4 linked regions of the Arabidopsis thaliana genome follow. The protein of the gene in region 4 interacts with the protein of the main gene of each other region in a pairwise test. Each region holds a gene or a part of one and is shown on either strand. Other genes may lie near its edges.

The links.
Region 1: the proteins of PRR3 (region 4) and TCP2 interact in a two-hybrid assay, tested with the Arabidopsis thaliana proteins (one study listed by BioGRID).
Region 2: the proteins of PRR3 (region 4) and BBX19 interact in binary tests that used the Arabidopsis thaliana proteins (3 or more experiments, as listed by UniProt).
Region 3: the proteins of PRR3 (region 4) and AT2G37000 interact in a two-hybrid assay, tested with the Arabidopsis thaliana proteins (one study listed by BioGRID).

What each region holds. Positions count from the first base shown.
Region 1 is NC_003075.7:10,161,876-10,168,006, reverse strand, and holds TCP2 (TEOSINTE BRANCHED 1, cycloidea and PCF transcription factor 2), read left to right. Parts: upstream 1-2,423; 5' UTR 2,424-2,564; intron 2,565-3,329; 5' UTR 3,330-3,697; coding exon 3,698-4,795; 3' UTR 4,796-5,085; downstream 5,086-6,131. UniProt on the Arabidopsis thaliana protein: Plays a pivotal role in the control of morphogenesis of shoot organs by negatively regulating the expression of boundary-specific genes such as CUC genes, probably through the induction of miRNA (e.g. miR164). Participates in ovule development.
Region 2 is NC_003075.7:18,159,019-18,164,873, reverse strand, and holds BBX19 (B-box type zinc finger family protein), read right to left. Parts: upstream 3,787-5,855; 5' UTR 3,299-3,786; coding exon 3,206-3,298; intron 3,000-3,205; coding exon 2,904-2,999; intron 2,819-2,903; coding exon 2,786-2,818; exon of another isoform or gene 2,706-2,785; intron 2,581-2,705; coding exon 2,484-2,580; intron 2,368-2,483; coding exon 2,252-2,367; intron 2,152-2,251; coding exon 1,990-2,151; coding exon of another isoform or gene 1,913-1,989; coding exon 1,829-1,912; 3' UTR 1,553-1,828; downstream 1-1,552. Other genes in the region: FBA2 (fructose-bisphosphate aldolase 2), read left to right, coding at 16-125, 226-316, 397-535, 613-743, 882-1,160.
Region 3 is NC_003071.7:15,538,678-15,543,214, reverse strand, and holds AT2G37000 (TCP family transcription factor), read right to left. Parts: upstream 2,970-4,537; 5' UTR 2,826-2,969; coding exon 2,259-2,825; 3' UTR 1,967-2,258; downstream 1-1,966. Other genes in the region: NAP12 (non-intrinsic ABC protein 12), read right to left, coding at 55-128, 219-253, 360-506, 587-650, 757-1,032, 1,110-1,186, 1,266-1,495; SIGF (RNApolymerase sigma-subunit F), read left to right, coding at 3,199-3,286, 3,460-3,614, 3,721-3,818, 3,911-4,096, 4,191-4,446, 4,527-4,537.
Region 4 is NC_003076.8:24,197,091-24,204,418, forward strand, and holds PRR3 (pseudo-response regulator 3), read right to left. Parts: upstream 4,275-7,328; 5' UTR 4,039-4,274; exon of another isoform or gene 3,573-4,038; 5' UTR 3,413-3,572; coding exon 3,145-3,412; intron 3,057-3,144; coding exon 2,895-3,056; intron 2,799-2,894; coding exon 2,410-2,798; intron 2,319-2,409; coding exon 2,171-2,318; intron 2,049-2,170; coding exon 1,769-2,048; intron 1,689-1,768; coding exon 1,658-1,688; coding exon of another isoform or gene 1,625-1,657; exon of another isoform or gene 1,579-1,624; coding exon 1,393-1,578; intron 1,324-1,392; coding exon 1,256-1,323; intron 1,162-1,255; coding exon 1,125-1,161; 3' UTR 908-1,124; downstream 1-907. Other genes in the region: AT5G60090 (Protein kinase superfamily protein), read right to left, coding at 1-30, 113-282, 470-635; PUM18 (pumilio 18), read left to right, coding at 4,864-5,847. UniProt on the Arabidopsis thaliana protein: Controls photoperiodic flowering response. Component of the circadian clock. Controls the degradation of APRR1/TOC1 by the SCF(ZTL) complex. Expression of several members of the ARR-like family is controlled by circadian rhythm.

The sequences.
Region 1 (6,131 bases), on a different chromosome or scaffold from region 4:
TGATAGTTTGGTTTTAAAATATTTAAAATACGGATACTCTAATTAAATTTTTGAATGTAACACATTAAACGCATAATACTTAAACTCATAATATGCCTACGTGATAGACTGATACTATTGAAAGAGATATAAACTTTACTGACCGTATATAATTTGGTTATTTGACGATTGGTTATTTACAAATCTTACATTACGAGCAAACATATACATGGGTATTCTGAATCTTGATATTCAGTATTGACTACTATTCAGGAACATAAACATAACTACTATTTTCCTAACTAAACAAGTAACATGAATACTATGATGAGAAAAGAAGAAATGTATAACTACAAAATATAGAAATCTCCAAGGCCAATTATAATTAATAAGGTTGATATTAACAAGCAACATATATATAAGAATCAGGGTTCTTAATTTTAGTTTTTTGTTGTGGTTTTTTTTCGTTGTTGTCTATTTTAGTGATTGAAATTCATTTAGAGGACTGATTGTCAAAAAAATAAAAAATAATCATTTAGAGGACTTGGATGAGCAGAAGCAGAAAATTAAAAAAAAAATAAGCATGAGAAAATAAGTAAGCAGAAATTTGGGTGACCAAGAAGCAGACACGTGCAGTGGTCTGGTAAAGGCAACAGTGATCGAGAAGTGAGCAAGTGTCCGTTAAGACAGCGACACGTGCTCTCGAGACCGTCGTGAACCACTTGCTCTACTTCTTTCCCTTTTTCGTCATTTGTTCTTAATCGCAGTTATTGAATTCCACAAACCACATTAACTAATAACTAATCTGTACTTATTAAAGTTAATAGAGTATGGTGTAATACCACTTGACTAAAAAAATACTACTAGATTATTAAAATTGCAAACGATTTGTACTAATTCTTGAATTAAATTGTGCGTGTTTTTTCCATGAAGTTCTAGTGATGTGATGTGGGATTGACATAGTGTAAGTTATTAAAATAGGGGTTTGGATTTCTTTATCAATATGATTTGTTAGGTGGAAAAGAAATGTATAGGTTTTAAAATAGTTTTCATTCTTCCTTAAATATCATTATCCCGGAAATTTAGTTATTTCTACTTTAAAATAGTTTGTTTAATTTTTAGATATTTGCTTGGATTATGTGCTTACTTTGATAATTGTTTTGCATTGTCTCCAAAATAAAATTTGTTTTTATATTTTTATTAGGCTAGTACATGTTATGGTTAAAAATAGAAAAATATCATAAAAACTGCTAAATTTAGACATTTTCTCATATAAAATTTTTATTTTTTTTGTTCTATATAAAATCCCAAACTTTTCAAATTTGAACCCGAGCAATGGCTGACTAAGACCTATACGATAATTTAGTTAAAAAGGTCGTTGACGACATATTTTTCATTTGATTAATTTTTGAAATTCACACATAATAGTTACAATTTTTCTAATTTCTAAGATTCATAGTATAAGTTTTTATCGTAATAAAGATATTTTTTTGGTAAATAACAATTAACATTGTTATGATACGGACAGTATATATATTTCCATGTAGCATTTTTTTATAAAAAAATTTCATTAACATAAGCAAACTTTAAACACATAAACAAAATATAAATAATTTACTCACATATCTAAAATTAAAAGACCTCAAACCAAATAGATAATAAAAAAACAGAGGAAGGATTCGAGCTTTATGCTCAAGAGAGAGGGTCGAGTTTACTCTGCAAAATGTTCTGAATATACAATATTAATCATGTCGGAGAACAAAAAGACTAAGAGTGTAGGCGAGACCGCGAGAGTTCCTTTTTTAAAGCAAGTAGATAAAAACTTGGAAAACTAGCTTGAGAATGAGAGATATGTTTATATTGCGGTATGAATCTTTTATCTATCTAAATCTATGTTCCGAAGGAATTGGTGGAAAACCATGAGCTTTACATGTAAAGAATGATAGACCAAACCTATTTTGAAAACATAAAACATGTAGCATTTTTTATGATCGAAACATATCATAGAGTAGATTATTGAGTATTAATCGAATTCTATTTCTATGAACAAACTAAAATCCTAAGGACACTTGGACAAAGTGAATTGTTTTTTTGTTTGTTCTCCTCTCCTACATAAATATACATGTGACATGAGATAATATGATTTCTCATATTCACGCATTGATTTGTTTCTAACATTTCTATAGCATTTATGTTCACAACTTCTTGATATAATAGCTGCCAAAAAAAACTTCTTTAAATATTTTCTTGTGTTTTTATTGCCAAAAACAAACGAAAATATCAAATAATTTTTCTCACCTGAAATCAAATTACTGAGGATGATAATTTAATACAGATATTTTGTAGAGGACCGTGGCAATTCCGTGAATAAGTAATGTAATGAAGGGCAAAAATGGAAATAAAATCAAAGTTTATGCCCAATATCTCTCTCCCCATCTGATGATCACTCCTTTAAAATCACCATCAAAGAAATTCCAATTTTCTCGGATTTTTATTTCTTATATACAAATCCCTAAAACCCTATAGCCCTCTTTCTTCGTCACCTACTACTACTAACTCCAAGCTCAAGCTCCTCTGTTTCTTCTGTAAGTCTCAATTTATCTCATCGAATTTTCCGAGAAACAAACAAAAACCAATCTTTTTCATAGAAAGAATCTGAATTTCGTGTTTATACTTAATTCTGATTCCAAAAAAACAATTCTAGATCTAAGATTTTTATTTCTTGATGAGAATTTCACTGTAGAAAGAAGTGTATTTGTTCCTTTAATTTGCTTTAAAATTTTGGTTTCATATAATCTCAAAGCCAAGAGCTTGACACCTGTGATCTGCATAGAATCCAGAACACATCAATAATGATTCCTTTTTAAGAATTTTTAAATTGATTTAATCTTCTTGTTGGTTACTATGAAACAACTCTTTTTCTTTCATAATTAGAAACACCAAAATCTTTATATAGAGAAGAAAAGCTTAAAACTCGATTTCTGCATTTTTTGTCTTCTTACTCTTTAAAGCCCTCCATTGATAATCGCTTCAGCCGAAAGCAGTTGATTCAGCTTAATTATTTATCATAGCTTCTGATTCTTCTTCTAGCTCCTTCTTCTTTAATCACGATCATTAACTTTAAACCCGTTTTATCAATTGTTGTGATATGTCAGATCTACAATGAGTAGAGCATAAATTCGAATCAGAATAACTGATATCTTAATTATGTGTATATATGAATGAAAGTCATCTGTAGAAAAAGTCGATAAGGATGTAACATATATATATATATATATAAGCATTTATGTATATATATATGTGTAAAGATTTGTTCTTATGAGATTGTTTCTTTGTTTTTGTTATTGCAGGCTTGTGGTTAAAAATCATTTCAGACACAGTGCTTTTGATGACTCTCTGCAACAAACAACAGCAGCTGCAGACAAAGCTTATACGAAGCTGTATCTACTGACTTTGATGGTGAAATATCAAAAACCCTAAATTAATTTTAAAAAAAAACACATTTTTTTTCTTCTTTTGGTTTTTCCTCTGAGGGTATTCATCATCAATGCTTACAAAGTACAGTGGGTAAACAAAACAAAAACAAAAACCCATTTTTTTCTCCTTCTTTAAATCCCAAACCAACCCTAAAGTTTTGATTTTTAATTTTGGGGGTAACCAAAAAAAAACAAAACCCTAATTTTTTTTCTTTAGTGATGAGATTATTGGTGATGATGAAATGATTGGAGATCTAATGAAGAATAACAACAATGGCGACGTTGTGGATAACGAAGTGAACAACCGGTTAAGCCGGTGGCATCACAATTCTTCCCGGATAATTAGGGTTTCACGAGCTTCCGGTGGTAAAGATCGACACAGCAAAGTCTTGACTTCTAAAGGACCACGTGACCGTCGTGTCCGGTTATCAGTCTCCACCGCTCTTCAATTCTATGATCTTCAAGATCGGTTAGGTTATGATCAACCTAGCAAAGCTGTTGAATGGTTAATCAAAGCTGCTGAAGATTCAATCTCTGAGCTTCCTTCACTCAACAACACTCATTTTCCGACCGATGACGAGAATCACCAGAATCAGACATTAACAACAGTTGCTGCTAATTCCTTGTCTAAATCTGCTTGTAGTAGCAATTCAGACACGAGCAAGAACTCTTCTGGTTTGTCTTTATCAAGATCGGAGCTTAGAGATAAAGCTAGAGAGAGGGCTAGAGAGAGAACAGCTAAAGAGACCAAGGAAAGAGATCATAACCACACTTCGTTTACGGATTTGTTAAATTCCGGTTCAGATCCGGTTAACTCAAACCGGCAATGGATGGCTTCAGCTCCTTCTTCATCTCCAATGGAGTATTTCAGTTCGGGTTTAATTCTCGGGTCGGGTCAACAAACCCATTTCCCTATTTCAACAAATTCTCATCCTTTCTCATCAATCTCCGATCATCATCATCATCATCCTCATCATCAGCATCAAGAGTTTTCATTCGTTCCCGACCATTTGATATCACCGGCAGAATCCAACGGCGGAGCATTCAATCTTGATTTTAATATGTCAACACCCTCCGGCGCCGGAGCTGCCGTCTCCGCCGCATCAGGTGGTGGCTTCAGTGGTTTCAACAGGGGGACCCTTCAGTCCAATTCAACAAATCAGCATCAGTCATTCCTCGCTAATCTACAGAGGTTTCCAACATCAGAAAGTGGAGGAGGTCCACAGTTCTTATTCGGTGCACTGCCTGCAGAGAATCACCACCACAATCACCAGTTTCAGCTTTACTATGAAAATGGATGCAGAAACTCATCAGAACATAAGGGTAAAGGCAAGAACTGATGATATTAATTATTGCATCTTTGGTTTTGTTCAAATGCTCATTTTGTATGTTTATCTTTGGTTTATTTCAAAACAAATGTTAATCTCTTTCGTTGTCTGATGTGTGTTAGGGTTTTGTTTTATGTATTGAGGGTCTTTGGAAATCTTTTTGCATTGTGCTTGTAATGTTGTATTTGTGATAATAGCATTTTGTTTGTGAGTTTATAATTGAATTTTTGAATGTTATTTTTGCCATGTAATTGGTATAGTTAGCATTTTTTTTTTCTTTAGTAAATTGTTTATAGTACGAAGATACTGTTTCTTGGTATTCATGAACAAATGGTAGGTCAAGGCAATAGGGCGATCCTTTTAAGGTACTAGATTGAATCAAATCAAATACTCAGAAGAATTAAATACAGAAATTAAGAATTTTCCCAAAAAAATAAAAAATACAGAAATTAAGTGAAGAGACAAAAAAAAACTTGTAAATAAAAATAGAAAGAAAGAAAATATACATAATAATCAGGGAAATAAATAATTTTGATAGACAAAACTGAAAAATTGAGGGTAAGGCCATTATGCATTGAAGAGAGTGAAAATCAAAATGAATTGTCTCCTGTTGTGCTCTATGTTTGGTTCCCTTCTTCCTTAGCATCATCTCTCTCCATATGTATTGTTTTTATAATCTATCTATCTTATGAATATATCTTCTTCATTTGACAGCTGTTGTCTTCAACAATGGCTATTCCCAAATTTTCATGATTTTATTTCTTATGATCTGTTTATATTATTATAAGTTTTTTTAACTTTTTCTTTCATGGGCTACTTGATCTTCTGCACCCACATGGCTAACCCATCTTTTAGGGTACTAGACAAAGTATTATTAAATTCATTCTTTTAGTTGTTTATTAGAAAACTTTCAACTTTTGTGTGGTTTTGGGATTTAGAGTAAAGTTGTTTTACTTGTGATTCATGTGTGTTTGAGGCTTAGGTACTTTCAAGTAATTTCCAAAAGTGAGAAAGATAATAATATCTTAAAAAACCTTTGATTGGGAGTCCCAATATTATATTGGCCTAAAACATTAGAAACAATAGACATTACAAAATATTTTAAATAACACAAAAGTGTTTGGAGATAACCATTTTATTATGAAAACACATAATTTTGTAGGTTTTTAATAAATATAATTTTTGAATATAATTATGTAACATCGCAATTGGCAAATGTTTATTGATACTGTTTTCAACAATTGCAATATATTATTGATTTTATATAGTTTATATTTTATTATTATTATACTTATATTGACTTCTATATACAGTAATTATGAATTCATAATATATAAGTTTGTATCAA
Region 2 (5,855 bases), on a different chromosome or scaffold from region 4:
TGTATGGAATATTAGGGTTTGGTGCCACTTGTTGGATCCAACAATGAGTCATGGTGCCAAGGACTAGATGGTCTATCATCTCGAACTGCTGCTTACTATCAACAGGGTGCGCGTTTCGCCAAATGGTACAGACTAGTACTCTCGGTTCTCATTTCATTTCCTACTACCAAAAAATATGCCTAGGTTCGATTTCATAGTGATTTATTGTCTCTGATGGTTGATTAGGCGTACTGTCGTGAGCATTCCTAACGGTCCGTCTGCCCTCGCCGTCAAAGAAGCTGCTTGGGGTCTTGCTCGATACGCTGCCATTTCACAGGTAACAAACATAGCGTGTATCCCAAGAAACATGTCAAATCGGAGTGTATCAAGCTATTCACACACGACTTTATTTTCCAGGACAGCGGTTTGGTTCCGATTGTTGAGCCAGAGATCTTGTTGGATGGAGAACACGACATTGACAGAACATACGACGTAGCAGAGAAGGTTTGGGCTGAGGTTTTCTTTTACCTTGCTCAGAACAATGTCATGTTTGAAGGTATATTCGTTATAAAGTGCTTCTCTTAATACAACTTATAATGTCTGAAAAATCACTAAGGAAACTTTTACCCACAGGTATCCTCCTAAAACCGAGCATGGTGACTCCCGGAGCTGAGTCTAAAGACAGAGCTACTCCTGAACAAGTTGCCGCCTACACCCTCAAGCTCCTCCGCAACAGAGTCCCTCCCGCAGTCCCCGGAATCATGGCAAGTTTCTCTCATTCTCTTCACAATTAAAAGATTGTTCGATTCAATACAACGAAAAGGTGTTTTATGAGGCAAAGCCTAATATTGGTTGCTTGAGGTAGAAGTAACATTGTTTCTTGTTTTTTTTGTTATTTGCAGTTTTTGTCCGGAGGACAGTCGGAGGTGGAGGCAACACTCAACTTGAACGCAATGAACCAGGCACCAAACCCATGGCACGTGTCCTTCTCCTACGCACGTGCGTTGCAGAACACTTGTCTGAAAACATGGGGCGGCAGACCCGAGAACGTGAACGCAGCTCAGACCACTCTCTTGGCCCGTGCCAAGGCCAATTCGTTGGCTCAGCTCGGAAAATACACCGGTGAGGGTGAGTCCGAAGAGGCTAAGGAGGGCATGTTCGTCAAAGGGTACACCTATTGAAGAGATGATGCTGTGAAAAAAGAGATGAAGCAGATGTTTTAATCACATTTGTTTTTGAGTTTGCTTGTTATTAATCATGTCAAATCATTATTTTCTCTGCTTACTTTGCGTTAGCTACTCCTTTTAATAAGTTCTATTATATTGAAGTTATCTATCTCTCTTGATCTATTTAAACTTGAAACTACAACTATTCCATAATCAACCAATTTTAAATTTTGAACAAAGAGGATACAGGAGGAAATGGTCTCCACGAAGCTTACAATTCTCAAAGGACAACGCTTAGCCTCATGGGGCCTTTGCATATTAAGTGGGCTTAATCTTTTAATTGGCCCAATTTTTCGTCTTCTTTCTTTTTCGTCCATTTCCCAGAGGATTTTATTAAGAAAAAAAAACAGAAACAAATAAAATTATTTAGAATTTCAGAGATTAGCTTACATTCATGTGAGCACTTAAGCTAATTCCTTAAAACTAAGATAATGCACAAACAACATAAACCTTCCCTCTTCAACAACAAAGCTCGGTTACACCAGCAACGATCTAAGAATCAGAAGGAAGGAAAAAAAACGGACATGAAATCTCCAGTTCTTGAAACTTTTTACAATCTTCTTCTTAAACTGATTTTTTGAATCAGAGTAAAGAGTCTCTTTCTCTCTCTCTCTCTCACCTTATCACTTCTCAGACTCTCGTTTAAAGGGTCCAACTGGTACAAGGCCTGCAGGCTCGTGATTGTTCTCGTTATTTACATCAATCCCCTGCTCATTGAGAAACATTCGAATTGAGAATACAAAAACAAAGATTGAGAATATGTTGGATAGAGGGATTCATATACGTTGTTATTTGATGATGGCTCATGTACTCTTTGTGGATTAGCATTTAGATCAATCATTTCGTCATCAATCTTCCCATTGGCTTCACCATTTCCATTTGTAGAGACTCTTTGGTTCTGCAAATTGTCCCTCGTATTGTTTTCTTTAGGCTTATCCCCTGGAAACTACAAGAAACGATAAACACAAGATGACTATTAAAACTAAGAAATCGACTCAAAATGATTGTGTGTCTGCGTGAGAAAGAAACAATTAGTTAATTCAAACCTCGATTCTCTGTCTCAGCAAAAGAAACCGACCGTGTGTTCTCTTGCCACCAACATGTACTACCATGTCACATTGCAGACAAAGAGAACTACCGTCTATCTCACAGTAAAAGAAGGCTGTTCTCACAACAAAAAACATTGCAGACAAAAGATTTCTCTTCATTTTTCAATATATGTACATATGCGAAAACATTAAACACGAGTGTGGGAAGTTCATTGTAAAGAGATCATACCAGGTGCATTTTCGCATATATCACAGCATGGGGCATTGCTTGGTTCAGCTAAACCAACACGTACATGCCGACTAGCTAGCTTGTTGCACATATGAACCTGAAAGAAGAAAACATTACAAAGCTTTGAAGTAATCCATTTCCGATCAAAATCCGAAAACTACTAAGAGCTATTGCAGTAGAGAAGGATGAACCAATGACTCGAGAAGGACTATAAAGTGTTACCCTTAAGAGTCATCTAACTGAAGTAAGGATTAAGCGCAAAGAGCAGAAAATCGATTATTTTCTTCTCCAGAAGTTAATACTACTAAATGCAAACTCTGGAGACAAAACGTTCCCTGCAATGTACATGACAGAGTAGAATCATTGAAACCGCAGCAACAAACACTCATGTAATCAAACATGTAAATTCATCAACTGAACCATCTTAATCCACCAAATGAGAGAAGAGGTTTCAACTATTTGAACTCTTTTGACGGATTCACTACACTTCGAAATATCTAATCTCATGTGAAGAGCCTAAGAATCTAGAAACCAAATCTCAAAAATCTTATTTCTTTAGCTCAAAGTTATCGAAAAGCCAGATCAACTCAGGTCCAAATCAACTGAGAATTCCCAGACAGAGATAACAAAGACTTGATCTTTGACGAACCCATCAGAGCACAACCAATAGATAGAGAGGAGAGTTAAAGAAAAAAAGGAAGCTTTTTTGGGAGAGAAGTTACTTTTTCATCGCAGGGGCGACAAAGGGCAGCTTCATCGGCGGCGCAAAAGATGATTGCGGCTGCGTTCTCGCAAGCATCGCACAAAATCCGCATCTTGCTTTTTCAATCTTATAAGTCTTTTTCTCACTCTATTCGGAACAATGAATCTCACCTTCAAGACAAAATCTTTAGCCAGAACTCAGATTGCGATTGAAAGAGATGAGAAGTGGAAATAATAAGTAGAAACCTCTGATTAATTAAGGAGGAAGTAGATTAAGGGTTAGGATTACGCGTTGGTATCAAGGAACTAGAAGAAGAAGAAGAAAGGGAAGAAATTATTTAAGATTATAAAAATCGCTCCTTTAAAATCTTTTTCTACGATGGAGGAGAAGCTTGAGAGACCAGAAGAGACGACGACCAAATCCACGCGCCGAGAGTATCAAATAAGCATACTTTGCTGTGACAAGGCAAAATCTGTTAATTACTACTTTGAGTAAATTTCTCCAATCAATTACTTTTTTTCTTTAATTGTGTGTTTTGACTAACGAAAATTATGATTAAAGTAGTACCTAACAAGAAATGTGTGTAGTATGATTTAGGAGAAAATATTGGGAAGACCAAATCTTTTATAGTGGATATGGTTTTGAGTTATAAGATTGTTTAAAGTCCATTATATCAGAGACCATTATCAGACAAAAAGAAAAATGATATCGACTAAAAAGTGAAGACGAAAGACTCAATGCCATCTGGGAGGTCATTGATGTGTCTCCCTGAAACACATTCGTTGTCTTGTTTCCTTTGTTTTGGTGAAAAAGTTTTTTTTGTCACAATCTTTATATGATTTCTTGGATCCTATATCTGATTTTTTTTCTTCCTTTTTTTGACGGCAGCTGAAATAGTTTTAGGCAACATAATGTGCTAAGATTTAGGACGTGTGACTATTTTTAAAAGTAAAAATATAAACTAAAATAAATAAAAAAGGGGGAAAAAATAAGAGCCACAAAAGGAATTAAAAAAAAAGACAAAGAGGTGGGTGGGCCAAATGTCACCAGCCATTTAAAAAATTGGTGGTCGAGAAGTAGTTGAAAGCAACTCTCAAAACTCTACTAGTGGCCTTGGTTTAATGTTGTTTTTATTTCCTTGCCCATCTTCTCAATTTCATTTAACTAACATCTTCACAATTATCTTAGTTTTTTTTTCTTTTCATCCCAAAGTTTATTCTTTCTCTCCTCCATAAACATTCTTTTGTAGCTTGTTTTATGACACTTTGGCATTTGTAAAATTTGAAAGAAAAGTTTTGACGCACCCTATTCATAAACACGAGAATCAATATTTGCATAATTACAATGTTCTCTTCTGTTGAAAATATAGATTATGGTTTTTATAAAAAACAGAGCATCCAAAGAAGAGAGTTTGCCTGCCATGTGCATCATTGCTAAATGTTGGGCTTTACTTGTAATGTTGGGCTAGATATCCATTATATTTGTTATCAAAATATCATTATGACCTTCTGGGCCGGGAGAAAAGGTCTCTCACTAATGGGCTACGATGAAGTGGAGTGTGAGGTCCACGTGGCGGGTTTAAGGTTCCTAATTAAGTTTCAGGGGTAAACCGGTCATTAACTACCCAAGCCGAGAGAGAGAGAGTCTGAGAAACCGGCGAATAGAAGAAAAGAGAGAATCTTTGGGACCAAATCAATGGAGTGGTCCCTTCAGACAAAAGTTAAGAAGAAGAAGACGACGACGACTACGACGAAGAACAAACAACTACCAAACTTGTAGGCAGTAGCAGGAGGAAGTGGGTGGGATTAACATTGTCATTTCTCTCTCTTTTTCTTTTACAAATCTTTCCGTTTTGTTTTCTTTTGGTTTTCCGGTGAGCACTGTTGTGTTTCCAATTCCGGCACTCTTTAGGGTTCCCTTTCAGAAGAAAACTTCACATTGTTGTTTCTCTCAACCGTGACATCTTGGATTACTACTTCTGACTACTTTCCTTTTTCATGTGCCCCAAAAGATAATAGTTACTTTTTCAAAATCTGGTTTTGTTGTTTGGGTTTGTGTCATTCATTGATAAAGTCACTAATGGAGAAGTACAAAACAATTGCAAAATTTCGAATCTGTGTTGTCATTGCTGAATTCTGTAGTGGATGTTTGCTTGCAGTTTAGAGCTTCGGAGTGCGAAGAGTGAGACACAAGAGGATTCTTTCTGGAACCGCATTATTCCCTTTAGAGGAGGAAGAAGAAGACAACTCACTCACAAGGTAAAAACAGCTCCTTTGCATGTTTCTTTATCTTGCTTGTTAGAGATGTAGACAAGACACGCACTTTATAGACGCAAAATCTTAGTATTCTGGTTCAAGATTGAGATGCATTTTGTGATAATGATTAAATGTTCTGTTGGTGCAATTGATAAGGTTTCATTGAGTTTTGACTAAGTAAACTCCAAGTTACTTTTTTTAACCTTTAAACACGCATTTGTGACTGACCTTGTCTCCCTCTCCATTGATGAATTCAAAAACTACAAAGCTATTATTTTTATGTTTGATTTTGCGTGTACATATATTATAATCCAAGTTACTTTTCAAAGTTTAGAGTATGATAACTTATTTTTTTGTTCTCTACACTAGATGTATATGCATTTTATAAGGAGAAGCATGGTCTGTGGGACCATG
Region 3 (4,537 bases), on a different chromosome or scaffold from region 4:
ATAATTTCCAACAAATTTTAAAGCAAAATGTATTCTAATTAACTAACAACTTACAATTAAGATCGCTCCATAGGCATGAATATTTTGGTTTGCGGTATTCGGATTGCATGTTGCGAGCTTAAAACATGCTAAAACGGTCACCAAAAAGAGAATTAATGAATGATAATGATATTATAAAACAATTCATTTTCTTAGGTTTTAGTGTTTTAGAAACTTACGTTTCTGTGACGTAGAACCTTGTCTGCAGTAATGTCTAAGTAATACATAAAAACATTAATTACATCCTTAATGATGAATATTTCATATATGAAACAAATTTTCAAAAAGTAACAAGAGTTGTGAGATAAAAGAATCAATACCCACTACTACAAGTGACTTTTCGAATCGTTGTTGGGCAATATGAACCTGGTGAACAAAACATATCACCACTACTCTCAGCATCAACCCAACTATCTGCAGAACCACATGTATGATTCAACTTTCCCGGAGGAATTTGGTAGTTATATCTGCAATGTAAAAACTCTTTAAATCATCCACTAATAAGATTTTTCATTAACTTACTCAATCTAGAAAGCTAACAACTTACGGCTCACAAAATCCTGTTGTTTTATTAAGCTTGGCAAGCGGGCAATATGCGCCTAACGGACACGCTTCGTTTACATAAATCAGAGAATAAACAACAATGAATATGTTAGATTAAAGTTTTAGTACTTATAATGTTGATATAACATATATGTATGTAAATGGATATCTTACGTATCATGCAAGCAAGACCTTGTGGACAAAAGAAACCCTCACAACAAGGTTGACATTTACGAGTTCTAGATGGAAGAATTTTTCCATTGTTGAGATCAAATCTTTTTTCATCATCTGCATTGCAACTCCATCCAGGCTCACATCCGGAAACCCATTTAGCTAAATTGCAGTTGATGTTAGGCTTTACATGAACCGTTGTTGCTTCATCTCTTCTAACAAAACTACTAAAGTAGAACTTTATCTCCGCAGCTGAACATAGTCTAAGTGTGAGGTCACCTGCATATCACAAGACCATTAAATCTCAATGTTCAAGTATTTGAATATAAAAACATAACCCTTTTTATGTTGTTTACCATCATTTTTCTTGACACAATTGCTTAAGAAGTCCAGATTTTTATCAAAATTAAATGCTTCATTCCAATCGCCCTTCCTGAATTATCAACAAACGATATGAGAAAAATGTAAAATTCAAACATGGGACTACATTAGCTGATTTTGAAAAGACTTACAAATTCTTGATGCAATAACCTAAATCTCGATCAACGTCAGCCTTTAAAACAGTCTTTAGATTCTGAAGTCGAGTATAGATAAGGTTTGTAACCGAAACAAGAGCTTTTGGGTTCCCTGTTTTGCTGTAATCATCTCCATCCAGAGATAGTGCAAATGACATAAAACTCAAGCCAAAAACAAAGAACAAGAAGATGTGTTGTGTCCAACAAACATCAACCCTAACTCTCATTGTTCTTATATCAAAAGTCTTGCCTTAAAATCAGAACCTTCCGAATCGAAATATCTGAACCCTCTGACCTAACAATAGAATAGATACATTGGAAGCTACCAATAGAAATATCCGTAGAGATGTCTTGTGTTTTTCTATCATGTCTTGAGAAAACCAATGAGTATATTCTTGAAAAATGGAGATGAAGGATTAAAAGAAAGCTAACGAGCTTGTTGTAGATTTTTTTTGTTCTCTTTTAGAAAATCTTGAAATGTTGACGTTGAGATCAAAAGTTGGAAAGTTGAAAAATGAGAGACTTGCGTGAAAGAAGAGAGTTGAGAAGGGTCATCATGGAAGGAGGTCCAGATTTCTAGCAAATGAAAAAAAAAATGGGTGAGAAAAATGATTGGTTTCTTAATTATAACTTATTTCCAAAAATAGAAATAACTATATTGGAGGAGCATGACAAATGATGATTCTTTGGATTTCATGAGAAATTTTTGTTTATTTAAATAGTGTTGCTTAATGATTTCAAGCATTACTAAAAAATCACAAATCAATAGTGAGAAAAACAATATAAACATTATAAACATATGGCATTATTTTTTAATCAATTTGTTTCCAAAACCAAATAATAAGATTATCAAACAATATTATTAGTTGTTTAGTGGCAAAATAACATTACCAAACTAAACAACATGATTTGACTAAATTATCCTTATCTGTTACCTCCTAAACTTTTAAAATCCTAATTTTAACACTCTAAATCAAAAGCCTAATTTTACTAATGGTGACGGCGTCTACGTTCCTCCTCCTCCGCGATCTCAACCTCAGATTCCGCCGTCGTGGTCATCGGCTCTAAAAGCATCGCTGTGAACGGCATATGACTGTAACCATTCACCGGATACTGAATTCCGATTGGCTGACAAAGATCCAACCTACAACTCGGCGATTGTGGCGTTTGCGTTTGCGTTTGCGGCGACGTCATCGACGACGACGACGAGGAATCGTCCGCCGCAACATCAACCCAATTCGAAATGAGCTTAGTCCCGTAGCCAGTGGCGGCAATAATCGACGGTTCAGCTTGACTAAGAAGCCATTCGATGGTTTCTCCTTCAGTTTTGTGACCGAGCTCACGCGTTAACTGGAAAATCCTAGCGGCGGCGAGAGCCGGCATCGTAACTCGACGGCTTCGTCCGTTAACCTTCGTGTGACGGTCTTTAGTCCTGGCGGAGATACATCCGCCGCCGCTCGAGGAGGATTTCGAAACACCGAACTGCGTTTGGGAACGCGATTCGGAAGCTATAGCGTTGAAGTTGGACTCATTTCTGCACACATTCTGAAAAATCATCTCCGAATTCGTCGATTTTGTAAACTAATTTCAGTGACGATGAACAAGGATTCACAGAGAGAATCTTAGGGTTACTAAAGGAGGGAGAAGAAGATGATTCGAATTAACTTTTGGATAATTTGGGCTTTTAAGCCCAATATAAGGCCCAACATGATCCACTCTGTAGGAAAAAAAAAAAGGGAGAGAGAACAAAATCTGACTTCCATGGCAACAAACAAGTTTTAATTTTTACAAAAAAAAAATTGGGAGTGTGTGTGTCGCCTTATCTGTTCGTCATGGCTCTGTAGAGTAGCCTCATGTTCTTATTCTTCTTCTTCCTTAGCCATTCGTGGAAGCAAAAACAGAGTCTTTTATTCTTTGGTGATTCTGTGAAATGGAAGCTACGAGGAACTTGGTTTCTTCATCTCCTTCGTTTCAGACAAAGACTCATCTCAAGAGCAGCTACTCTTCTCCTTCCTCTGGTACTTCTTATTCAGCTACTCTTCATATAGAAATATTGTGTCTTTGCTGGATTTGTCTCTGTTAGTTACTGGAATTTGAAGTTCATGGATTTCAATTTGAAATTAGTGTATGTATACGAGTTTGTGTTAGCATTTTCTGATTTGTTTTTGTTCGTTTGTTGGTATTTCTGTAGTAGTGATGCTTCATGATCAAACAACAACTCCTGTTGTTAACTCACGTCATCTCAATTCTCTATCTCGACATTTTCCTGCGTCGGTTCTCTCACAGGAGCCACGGGAAGAGTCTAGGCCTCTGTCACATGCGTTAAGAGACGATAGAACATCCCAGGTGTGTTTTATTAGCAGCAATATTGTCCTAAGAGATTGAATCAATCATAAAGTTGTCAACTTTCTAGTCCTCTTGTTTAATGCGATTGGGTTCCTTGCATTTTTAGTTGACTCTGGAGAGGAGGCAGTTTGATGAATTGGTTTCATCTCGAGAAGATGAGAAATTTGAACAGCAACTTCTTCACTCTACTGGTTTATGGAATTTGTAATGTCTCTTCCTCTCTTAAACCCACCAGTTTCAGTTTTCATACAACCTTTTGAGTTTTCTGAATGATGTAGCCTTTCTTTTGTTTGCAGATTAATATCTCCTTTAACATCTGAAACGAAATTGCCGGCAGTTGTGTCTCCTTTAGCTGATGCAGAGCTTTGTGATGTGGTTGCACTAGCTCAGAAGGCTTTATCAGCTTCAAAACAAGCTGCATTGTTAGTTGATGACACTGAAGCAAATCCATCTGACAACATCAAGGATTCTCTCTCCACTAGGTTGCTTTTTTTAACCTTGTTTGTGTATCTTATCAATCTGCTACTTGTGGGCTGTAATGTGAAAAGATTTGTATTTCTGGATGTTTGGTTTTAGCTCTTCTATGTCCTTACCGGAAAAGGGAAACATAGTAAGATCGAAGCGGCAGCTAGAGAGACGAGCAAAGAACAGACGGGCTCCAAAATCAAACGATGTGGACGATGAGGGTTATGTTCCTCAGAAAACTAGTGCGAAGAAAAAGTATAAACAAGGGGCTGATAATGATGATGCGCTTCAGCTCTTCTTGTGGGGACCTGAGACAAAACAACTTCTGACTGCTAAAGAAGAAGCTGAGCTGATATCACATATACAGGTTCATGCTTTCCTTATTCATGTGTCCTTGGACTTCCTTCTTGTCCCTGGTGCTAACTTCCATAATCTTTGATCTATCAGCATTTATTAAA
Region 4 (7,328 bases):
CTGTGGATTTTGAACCTTTACCGCTCCATCCTAATGAAATCAAAAGTTTCAGACTTTAGAAACTGGGTTTCGATTATTAAGCATAAAGGACATGACCTTTGGGTCTATATACCACATTAAGTCTTGAGAAATAGCAGCGATGGACTTCGCCGAAGTTGCCTTTGCCGAGATAAAATTCGTCCCGGAAGTTTATGGTTCCGTTTACGAGCTCACGCCATAGAAATGATTCTCCACAATTATCAGGTAGAGGTGGAGATACTGGTAACAGAGCAGCAGTCGGATCTGCAAATGAATTACCAAAGGTTAAAGATTGAACAAGATACTACTTTCACTTGCAAGAATGTGACGAGACCAAAACGAAGAAGTAAGAAAGAAACTCTTAAAATACAGAGTTGCGTAAGATACAAGAAACCCAGAAAACAAGAAATCTCGATTTCAAGAGATTGAAGAAGAGAAACGAAAACGGAACCTGCAACTTCACGATCGTCAGGGAGTCGGAGATGATTTCTCCAAAGATGATTGAGGCGCTCGTTATTCCCAAATAGGCGCTCGACATCTACTTCGTCGTTCTCGTCGTTACCTTGCGCTGCGTTACTTGAGCTTCCTCCTTTGAGACAGCATAAGAAACGTTTCATCGTAGCGATCAACGAAGATGAATCTTTCTTGAGATTTTTTTCTTTTGTTTTCCCGAGAATCTTTTTCCCGGAAACAAGTAATTAAACAGAGTAAGAGACTCTCAACGAGAAAACTAGAGCGAGAAAGAGAATGAGAGAGGTTTGGATGATGAGAACTAAAAGAATTCGCCGGAGGATATTTATATAGACGGGAGATTATGCGCTCTAATAATTCTTAAAAAAATTAGAGAATTAAATACTCAAATTATATTCATAAAACACACACACTAATTAATGAGTAACATTATTTATTGAAATGTTAATGAGTTATTGTTTTCAGAGAAGAAGTACTATAGCGACATTATTATGTTTGTAGAATAGTAATGACGTTATTTAAACAAGACTACTATCTGTTTTTGGAAATGGAAAAAAAAAAATGCCACTTTGTGAAATTTTCTTCTGTTCTTCAGATATTGGAGGTGGATCTCTCTTCTATACCAATTTTGTTGTTCAATTGTCTTCACTTCCTGATTTATGATCATCCCTCCTAAAGGCAAAGGACTCCATGTGAGTACATTACTATATCAGGATACTTTTCGAAACATCTAGAGGGAGAAATCTTGGAAAGGATTTGAACTTACTTGCGAATGAATTGACCTTTGACGTGAGGCCGTTGCTCAGCTAGTTTCTTCCTGCTATGGTACCTAACCTAAAGGATACCAAAAAAAACGTTAGTTTCGTCTCAGGAAACAAGAGCTTAAGCTTGTTTAGAGCTTACCTTTTTCTCAAAACATCGCTCTTTACGTTTAAGGCGAAACTTCATCAAAGCAGCTTCTCTTTGTGCCCATCGGTCACTTCCACTAGACTGCTGCTTTAAAGGATTGTCACTGCTTGAACTCGAACCCAACAGTTTTGCAATAGGACTGTCATGAGGAGAACAACTTTCCACATTTTCTTCTGGAGCCTAACTCAGCAAAAGTTCAAAGTTTTTGATGAAACCGGCATAAATTTCAAAGACAGCGCCAAGCATCATGAAAAGTTACCTTCTTAGCAGAAGTAGCACCATTATTGTATCTGCATATCACAAGAGAACCAATAACTCCAAATCAGTCACAGGTTCGACATTTCATTTGCAGTTAATGTCAAGAACTTACTTTGAGAATGCAGAGAGATTTGAATGCCTCAACACACTTCGATCACCGACTTTGTAATCTCTATCCTCTCTTGTTTTTTTCAGAGTTTGCTCGAGTGATTGCAAATCTTCTCGGTTAGATGAAGGTGCTTTGCTTTCTACTTGTGAGTTACCAGAAGAGCGATTCAGCGTGTCATCATTGTTTCTCTCCAAAGCTTGAACAGAATACTTTGCATTCTTTTCAAGATCTCCTGGTTCTTCAGCTTTCTTACTCATAGACATTCCTGTCTGTGATCCCGTGCCTAATACAATATCATCTAAAGTCATTGTTTTGAATTAAAGTAAATCAGAGAGAATCTCAAGGAATTGTTCCACAAGATCAGTGTACTCACATTTTAATTGACTAATTAATTTGCGTTCTTACCTATTTGTTCCTTCTGATCTTCAGCCTCCTTCAGTCTATTAACATGTGCACATCCATTTTCATAGGTTCCTTTCTTGTTGGGTGCATCGGGAAATTGATTTGAAGGCGAGGTGCTCTTAGTATCACTGGCTCTTTTTGTCCAAGAACTCTACATATTTTTATAAATGCAAAACCAATCAAAAATTTATAAACCGATTTATTCAGACATTGTTATTATCTATAGCCATAGAACAGATTACCTGAGTTCCACTCCCGTTATCACTCCCACCATCTTGGTTACTCAAACCACCACTACTCCCACTTTCATTCCTGTGTTCATCACTGATGCTGGCATCATTTTCTGACCCTTGGGTGCTTTCAGGTTTCACCGACTTCTTGTCATGTATTCCACTCTCACTTCCGCTTCCGCTAGACTGGTAAATCAATAAACGCATAAGTAAGAAAAAAACACAGAGTAACTTTTGTAAAACAGGTAACCAAATCAGAACTCTTACGCTGTGACATCTTCTCCAGACATGTTGCCAAAGATTCTTTAGTTCGTTCTTTCTAATGGGTTTCACGAGAAAATCAACAGCACCATTCGACAAACACTTAAAGACCAGAACCATAGAATCATGTGATGACATCACTACAAAAAGAAACATCACATCTTGAGTTACACAAACTGAGCATGGCATATTGAAGCTGGATAAACAAAAATTTAATCAAGGATTTGAGTAAATACTTATGACGGGGATGTTCTTAAGTGTCTTATGGCTCATAATCTTGGACAGCAGACCGGTTCCTGAATGCACAGGCATGTCAACCTCTGTTAAGACAAGATCAATGCAACTTTTCTCATCTTCTAGAATTCTCCAGGCTTCAAGGACATCCGGAACAGCAGTAACTGACAAAAAGTTTCCAAATTTACAACTGTTAGTCAAAAGCAAAAATGTGATTGCTAAACAAGGATGATCAATTCAATATAAGAAAACCTTCATAGCTGCAATTCTTTAAAAGGGCAGTAACAATATGGCGTGTTGAGTCATCATTCTCCACCAGAAGAACCTTAAGCGATCTAACTGGGAGATACCTCTCCCACTTCACAACATGAGCTAGCGGTTGCTGCTGTTGTTGAGAAATCTGTACATTGTTGGTATTTCTAGCAGTATCTTCAACTCGAAATTCATCTTCTTCAGATGAACCAAACACTTGCCTCTCGGTTTCCACTTCATCACCAGTTTCAATGTTATTAAAACACATTTTTAGAATACTAATATCTCATGAAAGTGTCAAGACCAGCCTCCATGAACAAGATAGAATAGAAGCAGCATCAAGTAACAGCTAAGATTCTGCAGAAACTTCCCCTCTACACTGACATAACACTTGCACATTTCTTCTTTCCCCAAACTTATTCTAATCCCTTCACCAAAACCTCAGCCCAATAAGAAACGAGAAACAAAAAAAAAAGCAACATTCCGTAAGAAGATCACAGTCTCACACCAGAACCAAAAAATAAAAAACTGAATTTGGATAAATCATCAAACTTGTCCAAAGAAAAACTAAACAAGCCAAATCAAATTTCAATAGTAGCACACACTCAGCTTTAGAAAACAATCTGAAACTTGTTGTTTCTAAAATCAAAAGCTATCAATGTTCCAATGGAAAATTATCACAGTACTTGGTAAGTAGTTAACAAACTTTGAACACAGTTTCTTTTATTCATTAGATGATTGTAAAGATCTCCTACTTTCTCAAATTTCTTATAAACTCTACAGAACCAGATACAAAATCAAACTCTAAGGCTCTAAGCTATAATACTTAATGAAATAAGCACAAAATTCAAACAGCAGCAGATTGTAAAAGCGACAAGACAAACAAAAGCAAACCTTTTTCACATAATCCATTGATGAACACCACCACCACCAGAATCTCTCACCATATCTGACTTGAAAAACCAAATTACAACCAAAAAAGAACAGATTTTTGCTTAATCTGATTTGCTTAGCATTTAATCACCTAATCATTCAAAAATGTTTTGATTCGTATCTATTTTTCTTTTACCAACAACTTTACAGAACCAAATTGCTACTAAAATAGAATAAAAAGAAAGAAAATTTAAAAAACTTGATAGAGAATCAGAGGAAGAGAAGACTGGGATTTTTTGGGAGGTGGTAGAACAAAAAGGTCAGAGAAGATATTATTTTGGAGTTTGATGACGTGGCAGAACTAACCTACGTGTCAAGTAGGACCAGATAAATTTACGCATGCTGAGATTAGTGACGTGGACAAAATCAAAAGCTTGGACTGCGAGGGGTTGGTTTAGACTTTAGAGATTATCGACATGTTAAATTATTGTCGATTTACAACAAAACAAATTACATATTTCCATTTGTTTCAGATAGATTATTATTATCTTCACACACCAAAAAAAGATAGATTAAAATCATGACAGTTACGAAAATGCAAAGAAAAAAGGAAAATTGACAAAACAAAAAGGAAACTCCACCAAATAAGTTTCCTTTTCCTTTTCCTAGTAGTAATCCGAGTTGTGTAATTGTAACTAGAAAAACAAAAGCCCTAACTTTTCTATAAATACTCTACGCATCACCACAGATCTCTCATTCACAAGTCTCTCATACTTCTCCCAAATCACACAAACTGATTAAACCCTTTTCTAGAGAAATTTCTGTAGATCATCAAGAGATTTATCAATGGCAGTCGCTGATAATCCCTTTTCAATGTCGACCATGTTCAATGCTTTACCAAACCCTAAAGGAATCTCCGGTTCCATTCCTCCTCCTGGATTCGCCCCACGCGCCTCCGCCACGCCCTTGCACGCAGCTCTGTTCAACCTAATGACTGACGGCGATGGTGTGTCTTACTTTAAAGAGATGATCTCAAATTCAGACAAAACAGAGCTTCAGAGGATGGCCTCGTTGCTTACGTCTGACTCCGATTACTTCATGTCGATCGTCACAACCAAGTTCGGCTCGAGACGCGTGCAGAAGCTCCTCGGCAAATCAGATGACGTGGACGCCTTCTTCTGTGCCGCTATCTTGCGCCGCTTCCTCCACATCACGACCGACAAATACGCATCCTACGTGACGATACGAGCCATGGTCGTTTTCGACAAGGTGATGAAAAAGGCATTGTACGAGCGCATTCTCTACCACGCTCTCGACCTAGCGTGTGACCAGCACGGCTGCATCGCGCTCAATGATATCATAACCGACGCTGACGATCCTTACTACAGAGATCAGCTACTAGAATTGGTCGCATCCAACGCTCTCCGGCTAAGCAACGATGCTTCAGGGAACTTTGTGGTCCAACATGTGCTTACACTGTATGACTCGCGTTGCATTCACAACATCGCCGTTAATCTTTATGGTCAGTGCATTGAGCTATCGTTTAAGAAGTATGGAAGCTACATCGTGGAGAAGCTTTTGGAGGTGGAGGAGTCAATGGTTGTGGTGGTTGTGGAGCTTTTGGGTTGCGATGGAGACAGGTTGATGAGGCTGGCGAGGAATGAGTTTGGGAATTTCGTGGTGGTCAAGGCTCTGAGATTCACCAAGATGTCTAGGATGGATCTGTTTTGGGGTTTGGTGCAGAAGCTCATGCCTTTTATCCGTCTCTTGCGTAGATCTCACGGAAGCAACATTGCAAACATCTTGGACTCATTTAGGCTTCGTTGCTGATTATAACTCTGTGTTTATTTTTCAAACCAGCTTACAATAGTTTAATTGTTCCGGTGTTCAATGTAGTTACATAACTCTGGTAAGAAAAGTGTTTCGTCATAAACTACTATTTTGTTTTGTAAAGTTGGAGTTCTTATGAAGAAGAGTTTACACAATTTGAAAAACGAAATTGGCTAATACATTTCTTCTTGTGTTCTTATTTCTGAAAACAAAACAAACCTAAATCGAGAGCTGTAAACGAATACACATTGCAAACTTCATCAACACCTTATGAAAGAAAAGTAAATCATATTTGGTGCACTAAAGATAAAATCGCACCTTGCTCAGTTAAGGAAGCAGCTTCCCTTCCATTCCATTGTATGGCTGCCTTGTCACAAGCCCAAAGTTTCTGCTAGAACCATTAGCAGGAAAATCACGAAGAGCATACAGCTTATACTCAGATAACAATCTTATCAAGATAGATACAAATGTCTCATAGCCATCAGAAATCTCTAGATATCACAAACGGATCTTCCTGCTAATGGTTCTAGCAGAAACTTTTTCACATTAACGAAAAATAACCAAACAAACTAATGAATTCAATAAGTTAAAAGCTTTTAATAGAGTGGCACATCAGAAATCAGCTCACAGTTGTAAAACCAGTAAGTTAAAAGCTTTTCTCTGTCTCTGTGCCTCTATTATTTAGGACAGTATTGTCATTTTCTTATATAGAATTGACCGAAACTTAGGCCCATATATCGTGTTCCCGTGGGCCTCTAATGACTAATTTTCGAAAACGATGGCGTTTTAGCAGTGTTTTTTTCTTTTTCCAATTTGAAGCCCTACAAGTATAACAATAGAGAGAAACCTCTGTTTTCCAAGTTTTTGCTACAAATGTTCTATGAATACAAGTCAATTAATGTAAAAAAAAAATTAAAACTCGCATTAGTTAAAATCTTTATAATTTGACATTAATGCTCTCATTAGCAAGTGACAAGATCAAATCCATTTTATCTAGGGATCATCGCAGTTAATCTTTATGGTCATTGCATTGAGCTCTCGTTTTAGAAGTATGTAGTAACTTCTGTATGCGGAGGAGTCAACGGTAGTGGTGGTTGTGGAGCTTTTGGAGTGCGACGGAGATAGGTTGATGAGGCTGGCAAAGATTGAGTTTGGGAATATCGTGGTAGGCAAGGCACTGAGGTTCTCGAAGGAGATGTCTAGGACTAGGATTGATTTTTTTTGGGGTTTGATGCAGAAGCTCAAGCATTTTTCTCCATCTCTTGGTGTAGGTCTCAGGGAAACAACATTGCAAACATCTTGGACTCATTTAAGCTTCGTTGCTAACTATAATAACTGTTGTTTATGTCTTAAACTAGTTACAATACTTAAATTGGTCGGGGGTAGTCACATATATAATAATATAACTCCTGTAAGAGATGTTTTCGTCTTTAACTGCTTTTCTAAAGAAAGTTGAAGTTTTTATGAAGAAGAGTTACAAT